Linked DNA regions of Stegostoma tigrinum. The protein of the gene in region 2 purifies or fractionates together with the protein of the main gene of each other region. This does not show direct contact. Links are inferred from orthologs where the notes say so. Each region holds a gene or a part of one and is shown on either strand. Other genes may lie near its edges. The genes, in order: dnaJ homolog subfamily B member 1-like, activating molecule in BECN1-regulated autophagy protein 1-like, serine/threonine-protein kinase Nek9 and bag5.

The links.
Region 1: the proteins of activating molecule in BECN1-regulated autophagy protein 1-like (region 2) and dnaJ homolog subfamily B member 1-like purify together in Homo sapiens (affinity purification with mass spectrometry, with the first as the bait; 3 studies listed by BioGRID). This does not show direct contact. The link is inferred for Stegostoma tigrinum from reciprocal best matches to the Homo sapiens genes AMBRA1 and DNAJB1.
Region 3: the proteins of activating molecule in BECN1-regulated autophagy protein 1-like (region 2) and serine/threonine-protein kinase Nek9 purify together in Homo sapiens (affinity purification with mass spectrometry; 3 studies listed by BioGRID and IntAct, with this or other methods). This does not show direct contact. The link is inferred for Stegostoma tigrinum from reciprocal best matches to the Homo sapiens genes AMBRA1 and NEK9.
Region 4: the proteins of activating molecule in BECN1-regulated autophagy protein 1-like (region 2) and bag5 purify together in Homo sapiens (affinity purification with mass spectrometry, with the first as the bait; 3 studies listed by BioGRID). This does not show direct contact. The link is inferred for Stegostoma tigrinum from reciprocal best matches to the Homo sapiens genes AMBRA1 and BAG5.

The regions. Positions count from the first base shown.
Region 1 is NC_081388.1:21,035,752-21,043,087, forward strand, and holds the start of dnaJ homolog subfamily B member 1-like, read right to left. Parts: upstream 3,008-7,336; 5' UTR 2,899-3,007; intron 1-2,898. Other genes in the region: c35h19orf67 (UPF0575 protein C19orf67 homolog), read left to right, coding at 3,845-3,935. UniProt on the Homo sapiens protein: Interacts with HSP70 and can stimulate its ATPase activity. Stimulates the association between HSC70 and HIP. Negatively regulates heat shock-induced HSF1 transcriptional activity during the attenuation and recovery phase period of the heat shock response.
Region 2 is NC_081370.1:2,164,047-2,171,085, forward strand, and holds the start of activating molecule in BECN1-regulated autophagy protein 1-like, read right to left. Parts: upstream 3,004-7,039; 5' UTR 2,549-3,003; intron 1-2,548. UniProt on the Homo sapiens protein: Substrate-recognition component of a DCX (DDB1-CUL4-X-box) E3 ubiquitin-protein ligase complex involved in cell cycle control and autophagy.
Region 3 is NC_081363.1:1,271,493-1,278,680, reverse strand, and holds the start of serine/threonine-protein kinase Nek9, read right to left. Parts: upstream 3,006-7,188; 5' UTR 2,926-3,005; coding exon 2,734-2,925; intron 1-2,733.
Region 4 is NC_081363.1:40,506,485-40,514,031, forward strand, and holds the start of bag5 (BAG family molecular chaperone regulator 5), read right to left. Parts: upstream 2,917-7,547; 5' UTR 2,887-2,916; exon of another isoform or gene 2,844-2,886; intron 1,230-2,843; coding exon of another isoform or gene 1,159-1,229; intron 1-1,158. Other genes in the region: cytochrome c oxidase assembly factor 8, read left to right, coding at 3,253-3,423. UniProt on the Homo sapiens protein: Co-chaperone for HSP/HSP70 proteins. It functions as a nucleotide-exchange factor promoting the release of ADP from HSP70, thereby activating HSP70-mediated protein refolding.

The DNA.
Region 1 (7,336 bases), on a different chromosome or scaffold from region 2:
TCTTTCCTCACATTTCAGACCCTTCAGTCCAGGCAGCATCCTGGTAAATCTCCCCTAGTGAAAAATCACATTCTCTCCATAGTGTGTCGATCAGAACTGCACACATTACTCCAATTGTGGCCTACCTAGTGTTTTATACATAACCTCCTTACTGCAGTATTCTACACCTTGGCTAATAAAGGCAAGTATCCTAAACACCTTAACCAACTTACCTACCTGCCTTACTACTGTCACAGATCTATGGACATGCACATCAAGGTCGCTCTGAACTTCAATACTTTCCACAGTGCTATTTACAGTGTAATCCTTTGCCTTGCTGGCCCTCGCCAAGTGCATTACTTCTCTTTTCTGCACTAATTCCATTTGCCACTACCCTGCCCACGTGAGCAGTACACTGATGTTTTCCCACCATTTATGGCCATCTTCCTCACTTGTTGCCAGCTCCCCCCACCCCGGAAACAGACTTCCAGTCAGAGAAACTTCCTTCTACGTTTTGGCTCTTAGCTAATTCTGGATCTAATGTGCCACTTTGTCTTGGATCCCATGAGCTCTTTGCTAATTGGACCAGCTATCTCAACCATTGCTGTGTTAAAAAATCCTTCCTTGGTTCTTCTTCAAGTTCACATCACATGGTTCAATATGTTACTTCCCAGCTGTCTTTTGAGGAAAAACAAAATCAGCATTTTGAAAATAAAGTCAGGGTGTTCCTCCCCAATATCCCAGGTCAGTATCTTTCCCCCGACCTACTTTGGTACTGTAAAAAACATCTCAGTCGTCTAGTACATACCACAGCCATGCTGGTCATGAAAGGTGCTATAAAGACAAGTCTTCCCTTACCCACCAACCACCATTAGTTTAGGTTTTTAATTCCAAACCTACCTGTGTTGCCACCAACATTGTCAGTGAGTCAGAGTCATTAACATTTACAAGCAGTCACGAACCCTCCTGTGCCAAACAGATATCCAAACTCAATCCAGATCCATCACACAGCATTTGGCCCACAAGCTACTAAACCCTTCCAATTCAAGTACCCATCCAGATGTCTTTTCAATGTTGTAATTGTACAAGCCTCCACCACTTCCCAGGCAGTTCATTCCACATAGGCACCTCGCTCTGCAGGCAAGTCTTTCCCCTAAGGTCCCTTTTAAATCCTACCCCCAGCCCCCTTCCCAACTCTAGTTTTGGACTCCCCAACCCTAGTGAAAAGGCCTTGACCCACTCACCCTATCCATGCCCCTCAAGATATTGTCCTGCATTACTCAAGGATCAATGGACCTTCTCACTGCCTCATGACCATTCATCCATGGACTCCATTTACACAGCTCACAGCCGCAGAAAGGCTGCCAACATCAAAGACCCACTGCAACCCAGTAATGACCTCCTACAAGCTCTTCCATCAGGCAGAAGATACAGAAGTCCAAACACAAGGGCCAGCAGATTCAGGAAGAGCTGCTTGCCAGCTGTTATCAGACTGATAAACAGACTGTCTAGCATCAAACAACACTGATCTTACTAACATTGATCACACCTAGCACACATCCTGTTTGCCTGTCTATGTCTTTTTGACCTGTACATCCTCGCTTACTATGATCTGCCTGAACCGCTGGTAAACAAAGCTTTTCACTAAACTTTGGTACATATGACAAATCAATTGCACACCTGACAATTCTGACAAGTCCTTTCCCCGACTCTGTATAGGTCACCCTTCTCTCCTTTCACAAGTCAACCACACCCCCCACTTCATCATCTTTTCTGATGGCAGAAAAGATAACCTCCTTAAGTTTTTGCTAACATTCCAGATACACAACTGCAATAGAAGAGAAAAGAGTTATAAAGTTACACAGCACAGAAAGAGGCCCTTAGGCCTACTGTACTGATTTCAGGGAGTTCTTCACAACTCTGTCAATGGGGTTGCAAAGATTACAGAGCCCAAAGAAATTAGCAAGCAATGGAGAGAAAGCAAAACCACAACCATTTGAAGATTTTAGCTCCCCTCCCCTCCCCTGACAAAAGACCAACTGAAATCATAAGCTCAGAAACGCAATGCAAATGGCACCTTTTTGAAGGAGATCTCCCATTCCAAATAAGTCCTGGCCTGGTTTCACCAGCTAGCTGGTGTGGTTACCCTTTTCAAGTTCTGAAAGGTCAGCAGGACTCAAAATGTTAACTGCATTTCTCTCTCTCTCTCCACAGACACTGCCAGACCCACTGAGTTACTCATGCAATCGAGTTTTGAGAAGATTTCTCCTGCAATTTCTGCTTTTGGCTGTAATCCCCATGTCAGCTGGGATCTGACAGCTGATCAGTCAGTGTCAGGTTACCCTATGAGTTGCTGAGAAAAGGAATTTTGTTATGGGTGGGGGGGGGGTAGAATTGTAAAGACCCTTTAGTTCTGGTTTACTGCCAGGATGGGATACACCCTTTGAAAGACAATTAAACCAGAACACGGGAGGAGCGGGGGAAGAAAGGTGAAAGAGAGAGATGTAGAAGTTGACGGCTGTTCTTAACCCTTGCAGGTTTACGTTGAAAGTACCTTGGGCTGGAGGGCCTGTCATTCCCCTAACCTTTGGAAAAATGTACGATGATGGGGAAAGAGCAGTCTCGTTACCCCCTACCCGCTTCCCCCCCCCCCACGGGCTGTCTGTCACAACACAGGGCAGGGAGGGGCAATTTATCAAATAACAGGCACAGGGGCTGCCCCTGTCCTGTCCACACCCCTTCCTAACTCCAACAGCTTCAAACCTTGCCCAACCCACAACGTTTTCTCCCCAAAGTAGCAAGGGGAAACAATGTATCCGGGCCCTGACACAAAAGGGAAAGGATACATTCGGCCGCCAATGTACCTAATGGACATGCCCCTCACCCTGGATACATTCGGAACCCCTCAGCAACACTCACCAGGCCGCGCCGCTCTCACCGTCTCTCCGCAACACTTTCAACAAATTGCTCGAACTTTCAGGAACATTCCATACATCGTCACTTCCTCTCCTCACCAGATCCGCCCCCTTCTCACCCAGCCCCGCCGATCCCAACCGCCAAATCCCACCCACCAGTCCAAGCCCCGCCTCCGGCCTCCGCACACCACCCCCCCGACAAAACCGATACCCCCGCCCCTCCAAACCCCGCCTCACCACACCAAACCCACCCCCTCCACACCAAAACACACCCCGTCCACTTCAAAGACCACCCTCTCCACATCAAACCCACCCCATTCCCAACAAACCCCGCCCCTCCACCTTCAAAACCCGCACCCCCGACAAATCCGCCCCTCCACACCAAACGCACCGCATCTCCACCAAAGCCCGCCCCTCCACGCTCAAACCCCGCCCCTCTACCCTAAAATCCCGCCTCTCCATCCCAAACCCTGCCCTCCGGACAAACCCCGCCCCTCCACCCTCAAACCCCGCCCCGCTACACATTCTCCGCCCCTCCACTCCAAACCACGCCGTCCCGATAAACACAGCCCCTCCAGACCAAACCCCGCCCCTCCACCCTCAAACCCCGCCCCGCTACACTCATTCTCCGCCCCTCCACTCCAAAACCACGCCGTCCCGATAAACACCGCCCCTACAGACCAAACCCCGCCCCTCCACACTCAAACCCCGCCCCTCTACGCCAAACCCCGCCCCCTCGAGGCGATGGCCGGGCTGTGGTACATGCTCGCAGCAACAGCATTCACTCATTCATTCAGTCAGTTCCTGAGGATGGGTCACTGGATCTGAAACGTGAGCTCTGATTTCTCTTCACAGATCCAGCCAGACCTACTGAGCTTTTCCGGCAACTTTTGTTCTGATTTAAAACATCCGTGGCTATTTCGGTTTTCATTCATCCATTCATCTCCGAGATGTGGAATTGCTTCTTGGTCCCCAAATTCAACTTCTCCCCGGGCAAGAGAAAGGGCAGCAATGACAGGGAGGGTTACTTGTACATCACTGGTAAGAGAGTGTTGAGCCCACGACTCCAGTCTGCTTTATTTAAGGAAGGATAGGAAACCTGAGTGTTTACTAAATTGAAAGCCGAAGACTTTCCAGCCTGTGAGATCCTTCTTGTACGCCCGGTTAATCTGCACCACCGCACGCTGCCCTCAAAGTGGCTGCAAGGTGGGGTTAGAGACTGGCACACACCTCCTTCTGGAATGTGCCTTTGCGAACGAAATACAGAGAGAGATGCAGTGATTTTTGTCGAGGTTCATTCCGAGCAGCTCCATGACACAGGTATGTGTGCTCGACGGTCTGTTCCCGGGGACACACACCAAGACAAATATCAACTGCACCTGGAGGACCAGCAACTCAGAGAAAGATTCTCTTTGGTCTTCCTGAAACTTGTTGGATCTTCCAGAGCAAGCACAAAGAACAAGAACAAAGATAAAGAACAAAGAAAATTACAACACAGGAACAGGCCCTTCGGCCCTCCAAGCCTGCGCCGATCCAGATCCTCTATCTAAACCTGTCACCTATTTTCCAAGGACCTTTATCCCTCTCTTCCCTGCCTATTCATGTATCTGTCTAGATACATCTTAAATGACGCGGTCATGCCTGCCTCTACACCTCCACTGGCAACACGTTCCAGGCACCCTCCACCCTCTGCGTAAAGAACTTTCCAGGCATATCTCCCCTAAACCTTTCCTCCTCTCACCTTGAAATCGTAACCCCTAGTAACTGAGTCCCCTACTCTCGGAAAAAGCTTCTTGCTATCCATCTTGTCTATACCCCTCATGATTTTGTAGACCTCAATCAGGTCTCCCCTCAACCTCTGTCTTTCTAAAGAAAATAATCCCAATCTACTCAACCTCTCTTCATAGCTAGCACCCTCCATACCAGGCAACATCCTGGTGAACCTCCTCTGCACCCTCTCCAAAGCATCCACATCCTCTTGGTAATGTGGCGACCACAACTGTAAGCAGTATTTCAAATGTGGTTGAACCAAAGTCCTATACAATTGTAACATGACCTGCCAACTATTGTACTCAATGCCCAGTCCAATGAATGAAAGCATGCCGTATGCCTTCTTGACCACTCTATCGACCTGCGTTGCCATCTTCAGGGTACAATGGACCTAAACACCCAGATCTCTCTATGCATCAATTTTCCCCAAGGCTTTTCCATTTACATATAGTTTGCTCTTGAAGTGGATCTTCCAAAATGCATCACCTCGTATTTGTCTGGATTGAACTCCATCTGCCATTTCTCTGCCCAACTCTCCAAACTATCTATATTCTGCTGCATTCTCCAATAATCCCCTTCACTATCTGCTACTCCACCAATCTTAGTGTCATCTGCAAACTTGCTAATTAGACCACCTACACCTTCCTCCAGATCATTTATGTATATTACAAACAACAGTGCTCCCAACACAGATTCCTGTGGAACACCACTGGTCACCATTCTCCATTTTGAGAGACTCCCTTCCACTACAACTCTCTGTCTCCTGTTGCCCAGCCAGTTTTCTATCTACTAATACATCCTGGATGCCATGCAACTCCACTTTCTCCATCAGCCTACCATGGGGGACCTTATCATACGCCTTATTGAAGTCCATGTATATGACATCCACAGCCCTTCCACCATCTATCAAATTTGCCACTTCCTCAAAGAATTCTATCAAGCTGGTAAGACATGACCTTCCCTGTGCAAAACCATGCTGCCTATCACTTGTAAGCCCATTTTCTTCCAGACGTAAATAGATCCCATCCCTCAGCTTCCCCACCACTAACGTCAGGCTCACCGGTCTATAATTACCTGAATTATCCTTGCTACCCTTCTTAAACAAGGGGACAACATTAATAATTCTTCAGTCCTCCGGGATCTCACCCGTGCTCAAGGGTGCTGTAACGATATCTGTTAAGGCCCCAGCTACTTCCTCTGTTGCTTTCCTCAGTAACCTGGGATAGATTCCATCTGGAACTGGGGACTTGCCAACCCTAATGCCTTTCAGAATACCCAACACTTCCCCCTCCTTTTGCCAACTTGACCTAGAGTAATCAAACATCTATTCCTAACCTCAACATCTGTCACGTCCCTCTCCTCGGTGAATACCAACGCAAAGTGCTCATTAAGAATCTCACTCATTTTCTCTGACTCCTCACAAAACTTCCCTCCTTTGTCCTTAAATGGGCCAACCCTTTCTCTAGTTACCCTCTTGCTCCTTATGTACAAATAAAAGGCTTTGGGATTTTCCTTAACCCTGTTCACTAAAGATATTTCATGACCACTTTTCACCCTCTTAATTCCTCATTTCAGATTGGTCCTACTTTCCCAATGTGCTTCCAAAGCTTTGTCTGCTTTCAGTCACCTAGACCTTATGTATGCTTCCTTTTTCCTCTTTGCTAGTCTCATGAGTTCACCTGTCATCCATGGTTCCCTAATCTTGCCCTTTCTATCCCTCATTTTCACAGGGACATGTCTGCCTGCACTCTAATCAGCCTCTCTTTAAAAGCCTCCCACATATCAAGTGTGGATTTACCTTCAAACAGCTACTCCCAATCCACACTCCCCAGCTTCTGTTGAATTTTGCCACAGTCTTCATCTCCCCAATTTAGCACTCTTGCTTTAGGACCACTCCCGTCTTTGTCCATGAGTATTCTAAAACTTATGGAATTGTGATCACTATTCCCAAAGTAATCCCCTACTGAAACTTCAACGAACTGGCTCGGCTCATTCCCCAACACCAGATCCAGTATGGCCCCTTCCCGAGTTGGACTACATAATACTACTCCATAAAACCCTCCTGGATGCTCCTTACAAATTCTGCTCCATCTAAACCCCTAACAATAAGTGAATCCCAGTCAATGTTGGGAAAATTAAAATCTCCCATCGCCACCACCCTGTTACTCCCATACCTTTCCATAATCTGTCCACATATTTGTACCTCTATCTCACGCTTACTGTTGGGAGGCCTGTAGCACAGCCCCAACATTGTTACCACACCCTTCCTGTTTCTGAGTTCTGCCCGTATTACCTCACTGCTCGAGTCCTCCATAGTACCCTTCTTCAGTACAGCTGTGATACCCTCTTTGACCAGTAATGCAACTCCTCCACCCCTTTTACTTCCCCTTCTATTCTGCCCAAAGCATCTACATCTGGGGATATTTAGTTACCAATTTCACCCTTCCCTCAACCTGCCTATTCTTTCATTTCTACTCTGACTAGCAGGTGGCACTGGTAGCAATCCTGAGATTACTACCTCTGAGGTCCTACTTTTTAACCTGGCTCCTAACACCCTAAATTCTGCTTGTAGGACCTCATTCTCATTTTTACCTATATCATTGGTGCTGTTGACCTCAAGTAGTTGTCCTCAACAAGTAGTTGACCTCAACCAAGTGTTATAGACTGGCACA
Region 2 (7,039 bases):
ATCCCATACATAACTGTAGTTCAAGACTTGGAGGATGGAGAAGAGTGCACAAATGTACAGTTGCTAACTTTGCTGGTGATACAAAATGAAGTTAAGTGTGAAAAGGATACAATTAGTCTGCAAAGGGTAGGTTTGCTGAGCAGGAAAATTTGGCAAATGGAGTATAATGTGGATAAACTGAAAACAGCATATGATTTAAATGAAGAAAGATTGCACAACACTGGAGGTACAGAAGGATCAAGGTAGTCTGGTACACAAACCATACAAGGTTAGTATGAAAATGCAGCATATATTATATCTTTATTTTATTCCAATGCGAATTAAACATAAAAATAGGGATGTTTTGCTGGTCTTGTGCAAAGCACTAGCAAGACTACATCTAGAGCTGTATGTAAGGTTTTGGTCTCTTTACTTAAGGAAGACTAATCTTGCATCGAAAATAGTTCAGAATATCTTCAACTCAATGGATATCTAGGATGGGGAAATTATCTTTTGAGGAGTAGTTGGACAGACATGACCTGTATCCAAGATAACAAGGTGTAGAGCTGGATGAACACAGAGGGCCAAGCAGCATCAGAGGAGCAGGGAGGCTGACGTTTTGGGCCTAGGCCCTTCTTCTAGGCCCAAAACGTCAGCCTTCCTGCTCCTCTGATGCTGCTTGGCCTGCTGTGTTCATCCAGCTCCACACCTCGTTACCTCAGATTCTCCAGCATCAGCAGTTCCTACTATCTATGACCTGTATCCACTTGAGTTTAGAAGAATAAGGGATAGTCTTGCTGAAACATATAAGATCCTGTGGGACTATATGCAGTGGATGCTGAAAGGTTCCTTCCCATTGTGGTGCAATGACAAACTGGAAAAATGGTTTAAAAATGAAGATCATATGGGTAAACCATTTCAGATGAAAACTAAGCGTTTTATTTTTTTCTCAGAGGGTGATGAGTCTTTCGAATTCTGTTCCCCAGACAGCATTGGAGGCTGGGTGATTTAAAATTTTAAAGGCATACATAGATACACTACCAAAGGGGACAAAGGATATGAGGATTCAATAGGAATGGGAAGCAAGGAGCAAATCATCTATTTGTTTGTAATTCATATGGCTACATGGAAATTTCCTGATCTTTAACCAGTATGATCAGGCTTAGAATTTACATTTTAATGTTTATAAGCAAGTCTAATCATTCTGCTTGTGTTTCGTGGGGATTTCTTTATGTAAATTTTTTAAAATCATCTCATTTTTGAGGTAAATAAAATATATTCTGTGTCTTTAACACATATTTATGGCATCGTGTTGTTTGCGCCACAATATTATAAACTGTTTTTAAAACTTGATGTGTCTGATGCTTGTTAGCTTTGGAGATCCATTTTCACGCATAAACAGTAATTTAAAGAATAAAAACAGCACAGCTTTGACAATTTCCTAATAACTCAATGGTTGACATAAATTTTGACATGTTTCACACCAGTTTTTACATTCCAGTATATACCAAAGCGATTCAGGAATTTTCTACTCAAATGTCTGTAATGACATTGGAGGAAGGTCCAGGCCATCTCAAATTTGGAACTCCTCACCACGCTCAATATCATTTTCCTAAAATCAAGATTTTAAAGCCTGCAGTGAGCTACAACATTTGCCAGCACAACAATGACTACACTTTGAGAATGATATTTTGAAATATCCAAATTTATAACATATAACGTAGCCATTCAGGTCAATCTGGAAGTGGCATCTAACAAAGAGCCCTCCCAGCCTAATCCTACCTTATCACGCTAGATCAAAAGTCTGGCAGGTAACAATTCTTCAAAGCAGAATCAAATATTTACTTAATTGCGGTGACAGTTTATGTCTCGACCAGCCTCTGCATGGGCGAAAAAAAGTTTCCTCATCTTTCCTCTACCAATGACTTCAAGCTCTTGACACCTCTGTTAAGGAAAATTTGTCACCTCTATTTACTCAAATTCCCTCCTAATTTTACACACCAATTATGTCACCTCTCAGACTCAAACTGTTAGACTACTAAACATACTGAAATATTAAAAGATTACATTTACATAAATTCTTGCCTCGTCTTATAGTCGAACTATTTCGAAAGAGGGCCCTCTATCAGGGTTTTTCATTTCTCAGATTACAACATTAAAGAGGAAATGTCGTTTACAGGCCTACTGGATCACAATAAATTCATCAAATTAAAATGTCAGTAAAAAGGGGGCCAGTTTCATGTTTCCCAGAACCACTCCAGCCTAACGAGCTTCCCATTTTGTGCTTGTAAAATTGATGGTTAAAACACAGCCTGGGCAGACATTTTGTGTAGGACTCCCCCTCTTGAAACAGCATTAAACTATTCCCCAGCCCCGGAACACAGTGAACAAGGACAGTGCTTCACATTTATGAACTGCCACAGGAGAAATTCATTCCTGGAAACTGAGCAGTGGGTGGAAGGAGGCGGGAGGGGGGGGGGGAAGGAAAAATGTCCCTGAGAGATACCATGACAACTTGTCTAATCCACAGAATACCAGGCACAAGACTGTGGAGTTTTGCCTCACTTACCTCTGGGGAAGACAGGTAGAAAGTGCCGTACGTCAAACAAACTGGTTAGTATCCATCACTGAGCGGAATACAACTGTCCACCAAAAGGCCAAGTTTTGGTGTGGCCTAGAAACCTTTCACATATTCCATAATTTCTTGTGTTACAGACATCAATGTCTCTCCCAGACCAGTGTAATTGATACGGAGCAATGGATGCAATCCGGAGCCAGGCCAGAACAATGGAACCTACAACATCGACCATTCATCCCAACAGGAAGACTTCAGACAGCCAAGGCCAGAGCAAGTGAAATTGTTCAACCACCGCCTGCTTCCGCGACTGGCTGCTGGACCACTTTAAATGCCCGCTCGCAGTATCTCAGCTTAACAGTTCACATCAAACATGTGTATCTATTTGAAAAGAATACACCATGCATTACAGGCTTAGTTGACACGTTGAAAGGGTTTTCAGTTCACATGTTGTATCTGTGCCTCATCATCCATGGTTTGGTTTTTGCAATCGTGTGGGAAACCTGGAAACCTTCAGTCTTGGCAAACCTCCTATTGAAAATACTGGAATGTGAATTATGATAGCCTGTATTGTCAGTCTCATTAAGGCAAGGTTTGTACAATGTGCTTGAGTTCTTATTGTTAACAATTACATAACGTTATTCAATAAAGAACAAATCACATTACTAGGCTAAAAAGTTTAATCCTGGATATAGATTTAATTAGCTAATCTTAGCTTTGGCAATGCTCAGAGAACCACAATCTTAATAGAGTAGGAGATGAATATTATTTTGATGCAACATCTCACACATTCTCTCAGGATATCCCAATAATGTACCTTTTTAACAGTCATCATTGTTGTAACGGACAAAAAAATAAAATTCAATTTGCACAAAAAGTCACAACAGGCAGAAATGAAATAACTGATCAGATAACTTGTTTTAGTTACATTTGAAGAATACATTTAGGCCAGAATTCCATTCTCTTGTTTGAATATTCCCAAGAAATTTCTCTTGGGAATATCTTACATCCATCTGAGAGAACAAATGGGATCCCAATTTCATATTTATTCTGAAAAACAGCACCTTTTTAAATCTAGTACTTTAACTGCGCTGCACAAAAAGTTACATATTCAAGTTTCAAGATGAGGCTTAAACCTAGGAAACTATTTCTTTGTTTGCTCTGAATAATGCAACCATGCATCCTTCTGAGGCACAATTCAAAGCACTACCGCTGACAGACCAATTTTCTTGAATTACTGCACTTGTCCAAAAGACAATTTGAAGGAAGTTTGGTGTTCTTGAAAATTACATTAATTGTAACTCATGATCATATAACAAGTTAGACTGTAAAAATTCTCATCTTTGACCTCACCTAAGTGTATGATTCAGTGTGTAATGCTGTATAATGTTAAGTTGCCAGTTTCATTTCAGTTATTTACCCATTCTGGGGCCAAGTCTTGGTTTAGTAATAATTTATATTGACCATCTTTCAACACAGTCAGTTTCACATCAGAATACAAACTATTAAACTTTGCCATGTGTGAATTGGGTAAGAACAGTAATAAGTTCAGCTGAAGGCCAAATAGTGTGCCGATATTTGCAATGCAGTCACGACTGGTGAGTAACGCAGGATACAAAGAGGGCATCGATGTTCATTGGACTGTAAATAAAATACTGGATGCTGGAACTCTGAAAATTCTAAATAATATTGAGCGTACCCAGCGTTTTCTCCTTATATCTGCAGAACATCCTGTTGGGGACAATGAAAGAATGGGGAATGGAACATTCAAAAAAAAAGAGGAAAGTGGTCAGAATGCATCTCATCTGTATTTCTAAAACAATCAGCCTTTGAAATTCTCCTAAGTCAGAGAGAACTTCCCTGCAACTTCAACTTAAGATTCCAAAACAGAGGGCTGAAATCTCTGCCTAACTCTCTCACTACTTTGGAAACTGGGTCACTGCTACCCTTTGCCTCCTGGGAAATGTAGTCCCCTCTGGGCGCAGGGCATACTGGGGTTTGTAGGCCACACAAGATGACTCTCTGTTTGGCGACCACACATTCGACATAGCGGGCTTCGTAGTCGTTGTGGGGAGGAAGAATAAAATCCTAATTCTATCACGGTGAAAAGAAGACGCGTCGCCGACTTTTATTTACTGGAGCGTTTTCACTCGTGCTTGGTTTAGTTTCAGTGGCGGGAGTTGTGGTGTGTGATGATGGCGAATGTGCGCGCCGGCGCTGAGGGGCGATGTTCGCGGAGCGTGGCGGAGGTAAACAGAGGCAGTTTGAGGCCGGGAGGCCGCTGGCGACGCCGTTTTTGTTGTTGGGATCGCGGGTGTGATTGGCGATTGAGGACGGCTTCTCCCCAACCCCTCCACCGGGCTGGGGCGACGGGAGCCAAGGCCGCCGCTCCGTTCAACTCGGGCGGTGCCGGAGAAGTCTGCTGGAATGTGAGGGGTGAGTGTCCGCTGGGGCCTGGGTAGGGGCTACAACCCATCGGTACCGTCCTCACCCGCTGAAAACGCGGGTTTGTTTTTAATATAAGTCTCACTTATTCATAATTTTACGGCACCGTGCAGCTTCGGCGTTTATTCCCACTTGTGTGCGGCTAAGATGTAAGTTGCTGTTGTTGTTGACTGGTTTTTGGGCACTGGCACAGGCACTGCGGGCCGAATAGCCTCCTCTGCTGGCTGCGATGTCGGGGAGCCAGTTCGGGCCGAGTGATGATGACCCTTCCTTCGGAACTGATTTTTCGCTTCTCTGATACCGCCGGACGTGCTGAGCTTTTCCGGCAATTCCCGCTTTCGTTTCTGATTTGCAGCGTGCGCAGTTCTATCCGTATTTTTTTTTAAAAAAAAGAAAAATTCGGTGCAGTTTCAGGACTGAAGGATTTGCTCGGCCGCAAGACAGTGGCGTTTAAAAGTTGTCTTTTTACCCCGGAAATTAAACGGGCCGTTGATTTCTTAAATCGCGACTGGAAACTTCACTGTCCAGTGTCCTTCATGTATATGCAATGCAGTTTGTCTGTGTCAACATACAGCTTTTCAGTGGATTTCGTTGGCTTGTGAGGCTGCTTTTATTTGTTTTTCCTGGTAGTACCGAAGACCTGTTGCAGGCTGTGACCCAAAACATGCAAGTTACTTAGGCACAGGAATCAGCCACTCAGCCCGTCGAGAAGCTCCGCCATCTAATTAAATCGTGGTTGACCATTACTCCAAAGTCACTTTTCTACGCTATTTCCACACCCGCTGTTATCATTTGAGAATGAGAATCTTACTGATTTCTATCTTGAACATATTCAGTGATTAAGTTACCCCTCCGGCAAAGCTCCCGTACGACTTTTCCCCACTGTGCAGCCTTCCCATGTCCGTGCACACTAACAGTTTATGGAAACAAACATATAAGCATGCTATTTGGCGTGTGCAGACCCCACCCTCAGCAGTCGCACATCTTGGAGGGAATGTTGCTGTCCGGGATCGTGAATTCCAGCAATTCCCCATCCTCTGGGTGAAAATAGATTCCCCATAATCTTGAATGGTGTGCCATTGCTCTGGAATTGTGACACCTGGTTTTAGGCATGCTAGCCAAGGGAAATTCCTGTCTACAATATTCCTACCTTAATATCCTTGCAATACTCCACAGACTGCGGTCATGACAATTACTTGCTTCCTACTTTCTGCCTGTTAACCAATTTTAAAATCTGTGCCAGTATACTAATCGCAAACCCATACACTTTAGAGATAGTAGGAACTGCAGTTGTTGGAGAATCTGAGATAACAAGGTGTAGAGCTGGATGAACACAGCAGGCCAAGCAGCATCAGAGGAGCAGGAAAGCTTGACGTTTCAGGCCTAGACCCTTAGTTTTGTTGCAATTAACCTCCCATTGAAGATTTTATCAAGCCTTCCAAAAATTTGAACACAGCACATCTACTGGTTCACTTTTATCTATACTACAAGTAACATTCTCAATAAAAGACCAAGTTTGTCGATTTGATTTCCTTTCATTCAATCCATGTTAACTCTGCCTGATTTTTGTGTCCAGTAAATATTATCCTTTACAATAGATACTAATGTTTCCTTAGTACTGACATCAAACTAACAGATCTGTAGTTGTCCATTCTCCCTCTTAAATGATGAGCTTACATTTGCCACTCTTCAGCCTGCAGGAATGCTTTCAGTGTCTGTATCATTTTGAAAGATGATCACGAATGCATGAATCTCTAGCCAAAAACTTTGACACTGGAATGTAACTCATTTGGTCTAATGGATTTATCAGTCTTGAAGGTCTGCGTGTGACAGCAGCTTATGGAAGGTTTGATTGTGCAGCCATTGAGAGATTCTGAAGTGCTTAAAGGGAATGTTGCCCTCTGATTAGTGAATTCTAATGATTCCCCACCCTTTGAATGAAAATAATTGGTAGTAGATTCTTTGCGCATTTTGAGAGATTATTGAGAAGCAAATTGCGAAAAGGCTATTAGGTGAGAATGTGGAGAAATCAAAACAACC
Region 3 (7,188 bases), on a different chromosome or scaffold from region 2:
TAGGGGAAGCACTAAATGAATATTTTTCAACAGTATTCACTCCAGAAAATGACAATGTTGTCGAGGAGAATACTGAGATACAGGCTACTAGACTAGGTGGGATTGAGGTTCACAAGGAAGAGGTATTAGAAATCCTTCAGAGGGTGAAGATAGATAAGTCCCCTGGGCCGAATGGGATTTATCCTCGGATCCTCTGGGAGGCCAGGGAGGAGATTGCTGAGCCTTTGGCATTGATCTTTAACTCGTCATTGTCTACAGGAATAGTGCCAGATGACTGGAGGATAGCAAATGTGGTTCCCCTGTTCATGAAGGGGAGTAGAGACAACCCTGGTAATTATAGACCAGTGAGCCTTACCTCAGTTGTTGGTAAAGTGTTGGAAAAGGTTATAAGGGATAGGATTTATAATCATATAGAAAAGAATAAATTGATGAGGGATAGTCAGCACGGTTTTGTGAAGGGAAGGTCGTGCCTCACAAACCTTTATTGAGTTCTTTGAGAAGATGACCAAACAGGTAGATGAGTAAACCGGTTGATGTGGTGTATATGGATTTCAGCAAGGCGTTCGATAAGGTTCCCCACAGTAGGATATTGTACAAAACGCGGAGGAATGGAATTGTGGGAGACATAGCAGTTTAGATCGGAAATTGGCTTGCTGAAAGAAGACAGAGGGTGGTAGTTGATGGGAAATGTTCATCCTGGACACCAGTTACTAGTGGTGTACCGCAAGGGTCGGTGTTGGGTCCACTGCTGTTTGTCATTTTTATAAATGACCTGGATGAGGGCGTAGAAGGATGGGTTAGTAAATTTGCAGATGACACTAAGGTCGGTGGAGTTGTGGATAGTGACAAAGGATGCTGTAGGTTGCAGAGAGACATAGATAAGCTGCAGAGCTGGGCTGAGAGGTGGCAAATGGAGTTTAATGCGGACAAGTGTGAGGTGATGCACTTTGGTAGGAGTAACCAGAAGGCAAAGCACAGGGCTAACGGTAAGATTCTTAGCAGTGTAGATGAGCAGAGAGATCTCGGTGTCCATGTACACAGATCCTTGAAAGTTGCCACCCAGGCTGACAGGGCTGTTAAGAAGGCATACAGTGTTTTAGCTTTTATTAATAGAGGGATCGAGTTCCGGAACCAAGAGGTTATGCTACAGCTGTACAAAGCTCTGGTGCGGCTGCACTTGGAGTATTGCGTACAGTTCTGGTCACTGCATTATAAGAAGGATGTGGAAGTTTTGGAAAGGATGCAGAGGAGATTTACTAGGATGTTGCCTGATATGGAGGAAAGGTCTTACGAGGAACGGCTGAGGGACTTGAGGCTGTTTTCATTAGAGAGAATAAGGTTGAGAGGTGACTTAATTGAAACATATAAAATAATCAGACGATTAGATAGGGTGGATAGGGAGAACCTTTTTCCTGGGATGGTGACGGCGAGCACGAGGGGGCATAGCTTTAAATTGAGGGGTGAAAGATATAGGACAGACGTCAGAGGTAGTTTCTTTACTCAGAGTACTAAGGGAATGGAACGCTTTGCCGGCAACGGTAGTAGATTCACCAACTTTAGGTACATTTAAGTCGTCATTGGACAAGCATATGGACGTACATGGAATAGTGTAGGTGAGATAGGCTTCAGATTGATATGACAGGTCGGCACAACATCGAGGGCCGAAGGGCCTGTACTGTTCTATGTTCTATGTTCTATGAATTGAATGGAGAGCCTGAAATCAGAGATACAAAATTTTCTGATCACACAAACATACAAAGAAAACTAAGTCGACAAAATGACAGAACGGCACTGCATACAGGTTGAATGAGTCAGATAGGATGGGGGAAGATGGAAAGCAATGGAGAAAACACTGCGCTTTTCCAAAGTGGCACTATTTAAAAGTAAACAGTCGGCTAAAGTGAAATAGAGAGATCCGATGATGCTAGGACAGGAATCTCCAAAGCAGGATGCAGGCAACACAACTAATTTAAAAAACATTGCAATGTTGTGGATGGGTCAGCGCTGAGGGAGCGCCGCGCGGTCGGAGGGGGACAGGGGAGGCGGCGGGGGGCTGGCAGGGTGGCTGCGGGGTGGGGGGGTGCGGGGTGGGGGGGTGCGGGGTGGGGGGGTGCGGGGTGGGGAGGCTGTGGGTGGGGGGAGGCTGTGGGTGGGGGGGGGTGGGGGGAGGCTGTGGGTGGGGGGGTGGTGGGGGAGGCTGTGGGTGGTGGGGTGGGGCGAGGCTGTGGGTGGGGGGGTGGTGGGGCGAGGCTGTGGGTGGGGGGGGGCGAGGCTGTGGGTGGGGGGGTGGGGGGAGGCTGTGGGTGGGGGGGTGGCTGTGGGTGGGGGGGGTGGGGGGAGGCTGTGGGTGGGGGGGGTGGGGGGAGGCTGTGGATGGGGGGGTGGTGGGGGAGGCTGTGGGTGGGGGGGTGGTGGGGGAGGCTGTGGGTGGTGGGGTGGGGCGAGGCTGTGGGTGGGGGGGGTGGGGGGAGGCTGGGGGTGGGGGGAGGCTGTGGATGGGGGGGTGGTGGGGGAGGCTGTGGGTGGGGGGGTGGGGGGAGGCTGTGTGTGGGGGGGTGGGGGGAGGCTGTGGGTGGGGGGTGCTGGGGCTGGGGGGTTGTGGGTGGCGGCTGGACCCAGTGAAGGTCCCGGTTGCTGTGACGGTGGACATGGCGAGGACCCTGTTCGTTGCTGTCACTGCGCTCCGGCTCTGTTCTGTTTTCCTGACCGGCCCCTCCCAGGCCCGGGCCTCACCTCCGTCCTCCGGTACAGGGTGGCCTCCCCGAAGGCACCTCTGCCCAGGATCTTCACCGGGATGTAGTGAACCTCGGTCCCGGCCTCACTCAGCAGAGAGTCTCCGGATCCTGGGCCTGTGCCGCCCGACTCACTGCCACCGAACTCGGAGCTCACCGACGCCAGGTGCCGCTCGAACGGCTTTAGCTCCATCGCCGCAGTCTCGGGCCCACAGAGAAGCTGCACCCCTCACAGCCTGAGGCCCGAGGCCGCGTCTCCCCCGCCACAGTGTCCGCCCCCTTGCGGCGGGAGGACCACCCTGACCCCACTCCCTGGCGGCGGGAGGACCACGTTGACGCCGCTCCCTGCCGGCGGGAGGACCGCTCTTTCTCCCCCCAACACCTGACACCCGCGCTTATCGCCCCCTCGCGGCTGGAGGACCATACTGACCCCCCTCCACCCATACCCTGGCGGCGGGACGACAACAGTGACCATTCTCCCTGGTGTCGGGAGGACCACGTTGACGCCGCTCCCTGGCGGTGGGAGGACCACAGTGAACATTCTCCCTGGTGTCGGGAGGACCACGTTGACGCCGCTCCCTGGCGGTGGGAGGACCACAGTGACCATTCTCCCTGGTAATAAAATGTGAGGCTGGATGAACACAGCAGGCCAAGCAGCATCTCAGGAGCACAAAAGCTGACGTTTCGGGCCTAGACCCTTCATCAGAAAGGGGGATGGGGTGAGGGTTCTGGAATAAATAGGGAGAGAGGGGGAGGCGGACCGAAGATGGAGAGTAAAGAAGATAGGTGGAGAGGGTGTAGGTGGGGAGGTAGGGAGGGGATAGGTCAGTCCAGGGAAGACGGACAGGTCAAGGAGGTGGGATGAGGTTAGTAGGTAGCTGGGGGTGCGGCTTGGGGTGGGAGGAAGGGATGGGTGAGAGGAAGAACAGGTTAGGGAGGCAGAGACAGGTTGGACTGGTTTTGGGATGCAGTGGGTGGGGGGGAAGAGCTGGGTTGGTTTTGTGATGCAGTGGGGGGAGGGGACGAACTGGGCTGGTTTAGGGATGCAGTAGGGGAGGGGAGATTTTGAAACTGGTGAAGTCCACATTGATACCATATGGCTGCAGGGTTCCCAGGCGGAATATGAGTTGCTGTTCCTGCAACCTTCGGGTGGCATCATTGTGGCACTGCAGGAGGCCCATGATGGACATGTCATCAAGAGAATGGGAGGGGGAGTGGAAATGGTTTGCGACTGGGAGGTGCAGTTGTTTGTTGCGAACTGAGCGGAGGTGTTCTGCAAAGCGGTCCCCAAGCCTCCGCTTGGTTTCCCCAATGTAGAGGAAGCCGCACCGGGTACAGTGTAGCATTTCCTGGTTGTAGGGGGACAAAGGTGAGCCCCTTGCTCAGGACTGACCGTTCGTCCTCAGTCAGTGGGAGGTCTGGGGGGAAGGTGAAGATTCGGCAGGGTTCAGTGTGGCTGTCTCCTCTGGGGTTACAGGCTGTGGAGGTTGTGGGCGGAGCGATGAGGTCGTCGGCCGTGGGCGGGGTTCTGTCGGCCATGGGCGGGGTTTTGCCGGCCGTGGGCGGGGTTCCGTCGGCGTCGGCCGTGGGCACCACACATCAACCAACACCAGTCACGGTCGGACATAGAGCAGTTTTTCCGCCGTCTTCGCCTCCACGCCTACTTCTTCAACCGGGAGCCTCACCCTCCCTCCGCTGACCCCTTCACCCCCTTCCAACACAAGTCCTCCTCCTGGACACCACCCCCAGGCCTCCTACCCTCCCTCGACCTCTCCATCTCCAACTGCCATCGAGACATCAACCGCCTCAACCTCTCCACCCCTCTCACCTACTCCAACCTCTCCCCCGCAGAACGGGCAGCCCTCCGCTCCCTCCGCTCCAACCCCAACCTCACCATCACACCCGCAGACAAGGGTGGCGCAGTGGTAGTATGGTACCTCTACATCGCCGAGGCCAGACGCCAACTCTCCGACACCACCTCCTACCGCCTCCTCGATCATGACCCCACACCCGAGCACCAAACCATCATCTCCAACACCATTCACGACCTCATCACCTCAGGGGACCTCCCACCCACAGCCTCCAACCTCATTGTTCCCCAACCCCGCACGGCCCGTTTCTATCTCCTTCCCAAAATCCACAAACCTGCCTGCCCTGGTCGACCCATCGTCTCAGCCTGCTCCTGCCCCACCGAACTCATCTCCACCTATCTGGACTCCATTTTCTCCCCTTTGGTCCAGGAACTCCCCACCTACGTCCGTGACACCACCCACGCCCTCCACCTCCTCCAGGACTTCCAATTCCCTGGCCCCCAACACCTCATATTCACCATGGACGTCCAGTCCCTGTACACCTGCATTCCGCATGGAGATGGCCTCAAGGCCCTCCGCTTCTTCCTGTCCCGCAGTCCCGACCAGTCCCCCTCCACCGACACCCTCATCCGCCTAGCTGAACTCGTCCTCACACTCAACAACTTCTCTTTTGACTCCTCCCACTTCCTACAGACTAAGGGGGTGGCCATGGGCACCCGCATGGGCCCCAGCTATGCCTGCCTCTTTGTAGGTTACGTGGAACAGTCCCTCTTCCGCACCTACACAGGCCCCAAACCCCACCTCTTCCTCCGGTACATTGATGACTGTATCGGCGCCGCCTCTTGCTCCCCAGAGGAGCTCGAACAGTTCATCCACTTCACCAACACCTTCCACCCCAACCTTCAGTTCACCTGGGCCATCTCCAGCACATCCCTCACCTTCCTGGACCTCTCAGTCTCCATCTCAGGCAACCAGCTTGTAACTGATGTCCATTTCAAGCCCACCGACTCCCACAGCTACCTAGAATACACCTCCTCCCACCCACCCTCCTGCAAAAATTCCATCCCCTATTCCCAATTCCTCCGCCTCCGCCGCATCTGCTCCCACGACAAGGCATTCCACTCCCGCACATCCCAGATGTCCAAGTTCTTTAAGGACCGCAACTTTCCCCCCACGGTGATCGAGAACGCCCTTGACCGCGTCTCCCGCATTTCCCGCGACACATCCCTCACACCCCGCCCCCGCCACAACCGCCCCAAGAGGATCCCCCTCGTTCTCACACACCACCCTACCAACCTCCGGATACAACGCATTATCCTCCGACACTTCCGCCATTTACAATCCGACCCCACCACCCAAGACATTTTTCCATCCCCTCCCCTGTCTGCTTTCCGGAGAGACCACTCTCTCCGTGACTCCCTTGTTCGCTCCACACTGCCCTCCAACCCCACCACACCCGGCACCTTCCCCTGCAACCGCAGGAAATGCTACACTTGTCCCCACACCTCCTCCCTCACCCCCATCCCAGGCCCCAAGATGACATTCCACATCAAGCAGAGGTTCACCTGCACATCTGCCAATGTGGTATACTGCATCCACTGTCCCCGGTGCGGCTTCCTCTACATTGGGGAAACCAAGCGGAGGCTTGGGGACCGCTTTGCAGAACACCTCCGCTCGGTTCGCAAAAAACAACTGCACCTCCCAGTCGCAAACCATTTCCACTCCCCCTCCCATTCTCGAGATGACATGTCCATCATGGGCCTCCTGCAGTGCCACAATGATACCACCCGAAGGTTGCAGGAACAGCAACTCATATTCCGCTTGGGAACCCTGCAGCCATATGGTATCAATGTGGACTTCACCAGCTTCAAAATCTCCCCTTCCCCCACCGCATCCCTAAACCAGCCCAGTTCGTCCCCCTACCCACTGCACCACACAACCAGCCCAGCACTTCCCCCCCACCCACTGCATCCCAAAACCAGCCCAACCTGTCTCTGCCTCCCTAACCTGCTCTTCCTCTCACCCATCCCTTCCTCCCACCCCAAGCCGCACCCCCATCTACCTACTAACCTCATCCCACCTCCTTGACCTGTCCATCCTCCCTGGACTGACCTATCCCCTCCCTACCTCCCCACCTATACTCTCTCCACCTATCTTCTTTACTCTCCATCTTCGGTCCGCCTCCCCCTCTCTCCCTATTTATTCCAGTTCCCTCTCCCCATCCCCCTCTCTGATGAAGGGTCTAGGCCCGAAACGTCAGCTTTTGTGCCCCTGAGATGCTGCTTGGCCTGCTGTGTTCATCTAGCCTCACATTTTATTATCTTGGAATCTCCAGCATCTGCAGTTCCCATTATCTCTCATTCTCCCTGGTGGCGGGAGGACCGCTGTGACACTCAAGTGTTTTCCTTTTGACCATGAGGCCCTTCAACGTGCACGTGACCCTCTGGAGGGTCCTGCGTGTGGTGCAGTGGTAATGACCCTGTCTCTGAGTCAGGAGGCCTGTGTTCAAGTCCCACCCTCCCTAAAGGTGTGCAGTAACATCTCTGTAACGGTTGAATTGAAACGAGACGAAGATCTGCGGATCCTCTGTGTCTGACACCAGGAGTTGCTGGAGAACCTCAGTAGGTCTGGGCCGTGTCTGTGGA
Region 4 (7,547 bases), on a different chromosome or scaffold from region 2:
TGAGCTGAAAGATGCAAAATTCAGTCTCAGCAGTACCACCAGGAGTGGGAGGATGTAGTTTTTGCATGGCAAGTTTGCATGGGCTGTTTCCAGCCTGAAAATGAACATATTGATGTACTGTGTATTGGAAAATTGATAAAAGGAGGTCAGGTTTTGTAGATATTTGTACTCAGACATCATTTTTAAATTACAGTTATTCACCTGTTGTCTTAGTTTGTCCACCAATTAACTTTGGACTGTTTTGTTAATTCTTTTAACTAGAATTCTGGTGATGATCATTGTGATCAGTTGCCTAAAATATAGCTGCTAACAAACTGTACCTCACTGCGTGTTTACAAAATGTATGCAAAGTGAAACCTTCCCTGCATTTTCTCAAATATTACATAGAGATATATGGATGAGAAAAGCCATACGGTGTCAGCCACGCTCAATAGGGGTTAGTGGCTAGGACTGTTGCCTCACAGTGCCAGGGAGCTGGGTTCGATTCCACTCTCAGGCCGTGTGGAGTTTGTACATTTTCCCATCTGTGCATGGGAGTGGGCAGGTGGGTTTCCTCCACTACCTCCCACACTCCAAAGGTGTGCAGGTTAGGGGAATTGGCCATGCTAAATTACCCACAGTGTGCAGGCTAGGTGCATTCGCCATGGGAAATGTAGGGATGGGGGTTGGGGGTGTTGGGTTGGACATGATATTCTTTGGAGGTTTGGTGCAAACTTGATGGGATGAATGACCCGCTTCAACACTGTAGGGGTTCTATGATTCTATTCCATGAAATTATGTAGCGAAGTAATTATCAAAGAGCTGGCTCTAGTTCCTTAAAGAAGCATAGGCTAGTGTGGTGGTAACCAGGAAATTTGCTTCAAATATTGAAGTTTCAAGTTTTCATGCAAATATGTTATTTCAACTGGACTGATAAGAAAGTACCACTTTGATAATACATCATTATTTGAATGGTTGTAAATTAAGAGGAGAATGTTCAATGAGACTTGGTGTCATCATGCACCAGTCATTGAAAATAAGCACACAGGTGCAGCAGCAAAGAAAGCAAACCGTACGTTGGCCTTCAAAGCTTGAGTATTTGAATACAGGAATGAGGATGCCCTTGCTGCAATTATTCAGGCCACACATGGAATATGACTGAAGTTTTGGTCTCCTTACCTGGGGAAGGGTGTCTTGCTATTGAGTAAGTTCAGTGAAGGCTTATCAAATTGAATCCTGGGATGGTAGAACTGATGTATGAGGAGAGATTGACACAGTTAGAATTGTATTAACTGGAGTTTAGATGAATGAGGGGGGGAAATCTCGTAGAAACCTACAAAATTCTAACAGGGCTAGACAGGTTGGATGGAGGAAGAATGTTCCCAAATGTGGGGGAGTTCAGACCAGAGGTCATAATTTAAGGACGAGAGGTAAACCTTTTGAACTCAGTTCTGCAGAAATTTCTACACCTGAACAATGGTACACCTGTGGATTTCATGACCACAGAAACTAGTTGAGACCAAAACATTGTTTTCAAAGTATACAACTATATGTACCTACATATAGCTCTTGTGACTCGTGATTAAGGCATATTTGCGGGTGGGGAAGCAGGCGCGAAGGAAGGAGGAGGAGGAATGGGCAGGCCTAAGGTATTGAGTTCAATAATCAACCGTGATGATATTGAATGGCAGAGCCGAGTCAAATCCTGCTCTTAACTTCGATGTAACTTCAGATCCTGCATATAAATCACGCAAGGGTAGAATTGGTCGGATGGCAGGTCATTCTTATTCCCAAAAGACTATTCATTTAGGGAACAAATTACAGGCTTACACATATAGTGCGTCATGAAAAAGGGCTCGATCAGATAATTCCTGAATAGGGCGGCTCACTATAGTACTTTTGCCTCACTAAGCCAGGGCCCAAGTTAATTCCAAACGCGAGTGACTGTCTACGTGGAGTTTGCACATTCTCCCCGCATTTGCATGGGTTTTCTCCCAAGATGTGCAGGCTAGGTGGATTAGCCATAAATGGGGAGTTACGGCAATAGGGTTGGACGCCCTTTGGAAGATAATGGGAACAGCACATGCTGGAGAATCTGAGATAAACAAAGTATGGAGCTGGATGAACACAGCAGGCCAAGCAGCGTCTTAGGAGCACAAAGGCTGACGTTTCGGGCCTAGACCTGAAACGTCAGCTTTTGTGCTCCTAAGACGCTGCTTGGCCTGCTGTGTTCATCCAGCTCCACACTTTGTTATCTTGCCCTTCGGAAGGTTGGTGCAGACTCCACGAGCCGAAGAGCCTCTTCCCACACTGTAGGGATTCTGTGACTGAAAAATAAAAAAAGGAAGGATACTAAGCATCACAGATCATGTTGATATGGTATGCTGGATTGCGGGGTGGTGCTAGAGAAAATCTCCCTTGGACATATCGTGCCTTCAGATTACACGGGAACTAGGATGATTAACGTATCACTGACTGCGATGCAGCCAGTTTGTCTTCACTTCTCGATGTAATTTATGAAGCAACAAGGTGTGGAGCTGGATGAACACAAGAGGCCATGCGGCATCAGAGCAGCAGGAAAGCTGACGTTTCGGGTCTGGACCCTTCTCTGATGCTGTGTGGCCTGCTGTGTTCACCAGCTCCACACCTTGTTATCTTAGGCTCCGTCATCGGCAGATCCTAGTATCTCTGAGTAAACTCATGAGGCGTTAGCGCAGCAAAAGCCGGACGGCCTGTTGGCACAGGCTTCGAGAGATAAACTCCACGTTAGGCTCTGTCATACGGGCCAGGCCGCACCGGTCATACCGAAAGACAGCATGCACGAGACTCGCTCCCAAACCGCGTGCGCGCCCGATTGAACACACCGAAGTGGGACAGGGAGACGAGCTCACTCCCTGTCAAACCCACCAGAAGCTCCTTCTGGATCCTTCCACTCACCGACCAACTGCCCGCCCGGAAACTCTGGAAAGCGATAGCTCGAAGAGTTTTCGACCACGCACATGCGTAGAGCCAAACCCTGCCAACTGCCCGCCCGGAAACTCTGGAAAGCGATAGCTCGAAGAGTTTTCGACCACGCACATGCGTAGAGCCAAACCCTGCCAACTGCCCGCCCGGAAACTCTGGAAAGCGATAGCTCGAAGAGTTTTCGACCACGCACATGCGTAGAGCCAAACCCTGCCAACTGCCGGATCGCTTTCACGACAGGATGTCGGTTCCTTACTGCCGTAAACTGGAACAGCTTCGGACAGGGCGGATGGTTGTGTGTTGTCAGTGATGAGCTGTAGGTGCCTAACTGTCTTTTCGTTTGTTGGAAAATTATCGAGAACAAGAATATTTCATAGTACCCGGGTAAAGGAAACTGGAGGGGACAAATACGTGGTGTTGGGAGGAAGGTGCTGTCCAGTTTCGAGCAGTGCTGCTGATCAAAGTGACAATGGTACCGAGGTATATGTCAACTTTCCTGTTTCTAGTAAATGTGAAGCAACTCTAGGGTGACTGTCGATGTTATTTGAAACTTATTACCCTCTCGGGAACTGTCCTGATCTACCTAACGTAGGATATAAACATAATATTGTACTGTGCTTGATTTTTCCCCGCAAACTGCTTTAACGAAGGTTTGATTTATTAAGAGATAACTCAGCGTGGATGCTGAATATTATTGTTAGAAGTGGACAATGGAGGAAAATTTTCATCCGTTGGCAGAATCGTTCACGTATATCAGCCATCTCAAGCTGTCATGTTAAATGCCGCAATTGTAGCCTTTGCGTTTTGGATGCAGTATCTTAAAATATTTAGCACACGCTGGCGGAAAAACCTTCTGAGAGTTAGTGCAGTGTATTGCATGGTACACATTACAGCCACCCGTGTCATGCAGTTTGCCATAAAGAATGAATGTTTAAAGTGGTGAATGGGATGGTCAAGTGGGCTGTCTTGTCTTGGATATTGAGCTGTTTGAGTTGTAGCTGCTTTCATCCGATAGCTATTTTGAGACTAATTGAGACTGACTGCAATCAAAGATTGATTGCTACTTTGCTATGAAGTACATACATCAAAAATTCCAGTGCTGTAGAAGTTCTTTTCAGGAAAAGCTTCATGCCTTCCCCTCATTAGACGTAATTTGTGAATCTCTTTTTCAATCAGACCTGTAAAATTGTAAAATGGCCTAGTGGTATTATTGCTGGACTGTTAATCCAGAGACCCTATCAATGTTGTGGGAGGGAAGAGAGGGGCTGAGGGCAGATGTGTGAGAGATGGGTCGAATCTGGTTGAGGGCCTTGTTGACAATGGTGTTGGGGAATCGTTGAGGAAGAAGGTGGACATTTCAGAAGCTCCCTTGTTGAAGTTGGCCCAATAGGAGCATATGCGACCGAGTTTGAGGAACTGGGAGAATGCACTGAAATCTTTAGAGAAGGCAGAATTGCGAGGATGTATAATCCACGTAACTGTGGGAGTCGGTGGGTTTATAGTGGATATGTAGTGGTTAGTCTGTCCCCAGAAATGGAAACAGATGCTGACGAAGGGAAGAGCCAGAGATAGACCAGGTGAAAGTTAGGCCGGGGTGGAAATTAGAAGCAAAATCAAAGAATTTTTCCAATTCTTGATGAGAGATGGAATTAGTACCGATAATATCATCAATATATTGGAGAAAGAGTTGCGGGTGGGAGTGGAATAGGACTGGAACAAGAAATGTTCCATGTTCCCAACTAAGAGACAGGAGTAACTGGGCTGATGTGGATACCCATGGCCATCCCTCTGACCTGAAGCAAATGAGAGAAGTTAAAAATGAAGTTGTTGAGGGTGTGAAGGAGGGTGGGGCCAGCTCAGGCCTCCATTCAGGAAGAAGTGGAGAACCCTGAGACCATTCTGTGTGTGGGGGGGTGATGGATGTGTAAAGAGTTAAAAGGTAGTGGCTGGAGCCTGCAAACTGGAAATTCTGAAACCGGAATAGAGTGTCAGAGGAATCTCAGGCATATATGGGCAGGGACTGGAACGGGGAGAAAAGACTGAATCATGATAGTAAGAGATGAGGTCTGTGGGACAGGAGCAGGCTGAAACGATGGGTCTGCCCAGGCAGTCCTGTTTATGGATTTTCGGAAGGAGGTAGAAGCGAGCTGTGTGGAGCTGGGGGAACTATCAGCTTCGAGGCAGTGACGGTTGAACTGAGGTCACTGACCGTGAGAGATACAATGGTCTGATGTGTCATGGTGAGGTCATGATCCAGGTACAATAGGAGGATCTATCTAAGAGCAGGCGCTCAGCCTCTGTAATATCAAGGCCAGTACGCTAGACTTCCTTATTTAACTCCACCCTCCTCGGTATCCAAGGGATCAGACATACTTTATAGGTGAAGCAACACTTTACCTGAACTTTGCACAATCTAGTCTACTACATTCACTGCTCATGATGTGGTCTCCTGTACATTGGGGAAACAAAGCATAGACTGGGTGACCACTTCACAGAACCTGCATTCTGCTCACAAAAAAAGACTCTGCCTGCCATTTTCACACACCATTCTGTTCCCTGGCCATCATCTCTGTCTCTAGCTTGCTGCAGTTCCAGTGAAGCTCAGCGCAAGCTGGAAGAACAACGTCTCATTTCCTGCTTGGGGACCCTGCAGCCCTCCGGACTCAATATCAAGTTCAATAATTGTAGGGCCTGAACTCTTCCATGACTTAGACCCCTACTTTACACACCAGGCCTTGTTTTCACATATTCTGCCATTACACACTATCTATTGTTAGCCAATAACCGTCTCCATTAACAGCTATTCACCCTCCCAGCCAGATCATTATCCACTCCTTTGTCTGTCCAACTGTTCTTCTCTGTCTTTGGACACTATTCCCACCTATCGTTCACTCCCAACCCACTCATTCCACCCGATCTTCAGCACATAAACTGACATTTTCCTCGCCACCAACTGCTCCAAGGAAGTGTCACTGGATCCGAAACGTTAACTCTGATTTATCTTCACAGATGCTGCCAGACCTGCTGAGATTTTCCAGCAACTTCTGTTTTCGTTTCTGATTTACAGCATCCACAGATTTTTCAAGTTTTTTCACACTGCATGTTCTCTCACATGGACAAAAAAAATCCCCTCATACTATGTAGAATTACAAAGAAGTTATCCTTTTGTCCTGGCTAATATTTATCACCCAGTCAAAACAGAACCATAGAAATGATACAGCACAGAATGGGACCGTTTGGCACATCTTGTTCAGTCTGTCCCAAAGATACCCAGATGATCTTTCTAATTCTTTATTCCTGACCACAGGCCGTAGCCCTGCAGCTTACAGCATTTAAAGTGCAGATTCAGATATGTTGAAGAGTTTTCATTTTCTGCCTCCACCACTTACCCAGGCAGCGAATTCCAGACACCCCCACCATCCTCTGCATTATTAAAAAAACACTGAAAGAAATTGATAGCAGCAGGGAGATTGAAGAAAGCATAGGTCGGCAGATTTTGGAAAAGTGCGGACGTAGTAGGGTTGTTGTAATGGGTGACTTTAACTTTCCCAATATTGATTGGAACCTCCTTCGAGCAGAAGATTTGAATGGAGCTGTTTTTGTAAGGTGTGTTCAGGAGGGTTTCCTAACTCAGTACGTTGACAGGCCGACGAGGGGAGAGGCCATTCTAGACTTGGTGCTCGGAAACGAGCCGGGGCAGGTATCAGATCTTGTGGTGGGAGAGCATTTTGGTGATAGTGACCATAACTGCCTCACATTCTACATAGCTATGGAGAAGGAGAGGATTAGGCAAAATGGGAGGATATTTAATTGGGGAAGAGGAAACTATGATGCGATTAGACATGAGTTAGGAAGCATGGACTGGGAGCAATTGTTCCATGGTAAAGGCACTATAGACATGTGGAGACTGTATAAGGAACAGTTGTTGCGAGTGATGAATAAATATGTACCTCTGAGACAGGCAGGAAGGGGTAAGATAAAGGAACCTTGGATGACGAGAGCGGTGGAGCTTCTCATCAAAAGGAAGAAGGTAGCTTACATAAGGTGGAGGAAGCTAGGGTCAAGCTCAGCTCTAGAGGATTACAGGCAGGCGACGAAAGATCTCAAAAATGGTCTGAGGAGAGCCAGGAGGGGGCACGAGAAAGGCTTGGCAGAACGGTTTAGGGAGAACACAAAGGCATTTTACACTTATGTGAGGAATAAGAGAATGGTCAAAGAAAGAGTAGGGCCGATCAGGGATAGCATAGGGAACTTGTGTGTGGAGTCTGAGGAGATAGGGGAAGCCCTAAATGAGTTTTTTGCTCAGGTCTTTATGAAAGAAATGAACTTTGTAGTGAATGAAACCTTTGAAGAGCAGGTGTGCATGCTGAAATAGATAGAGATAGAGGAAGCTGATGTGCTGAAAATTTTGTCAAACATTAAGATTGACAAGTCGCCAGGCCCAGACCAGATTTGTCCTCGGCTACGTTGGGAAACGAGAAATGCAATTGCTTCGCCACTTGCGAAGATCTTTGCATCCTCGCTGTCCACTGGAGTCGTACCTGAGGACTGGAGAGAGGCAAATGTAATTCCTGTCTTCAAGAAAGGAAATAGGGAAATCCCCG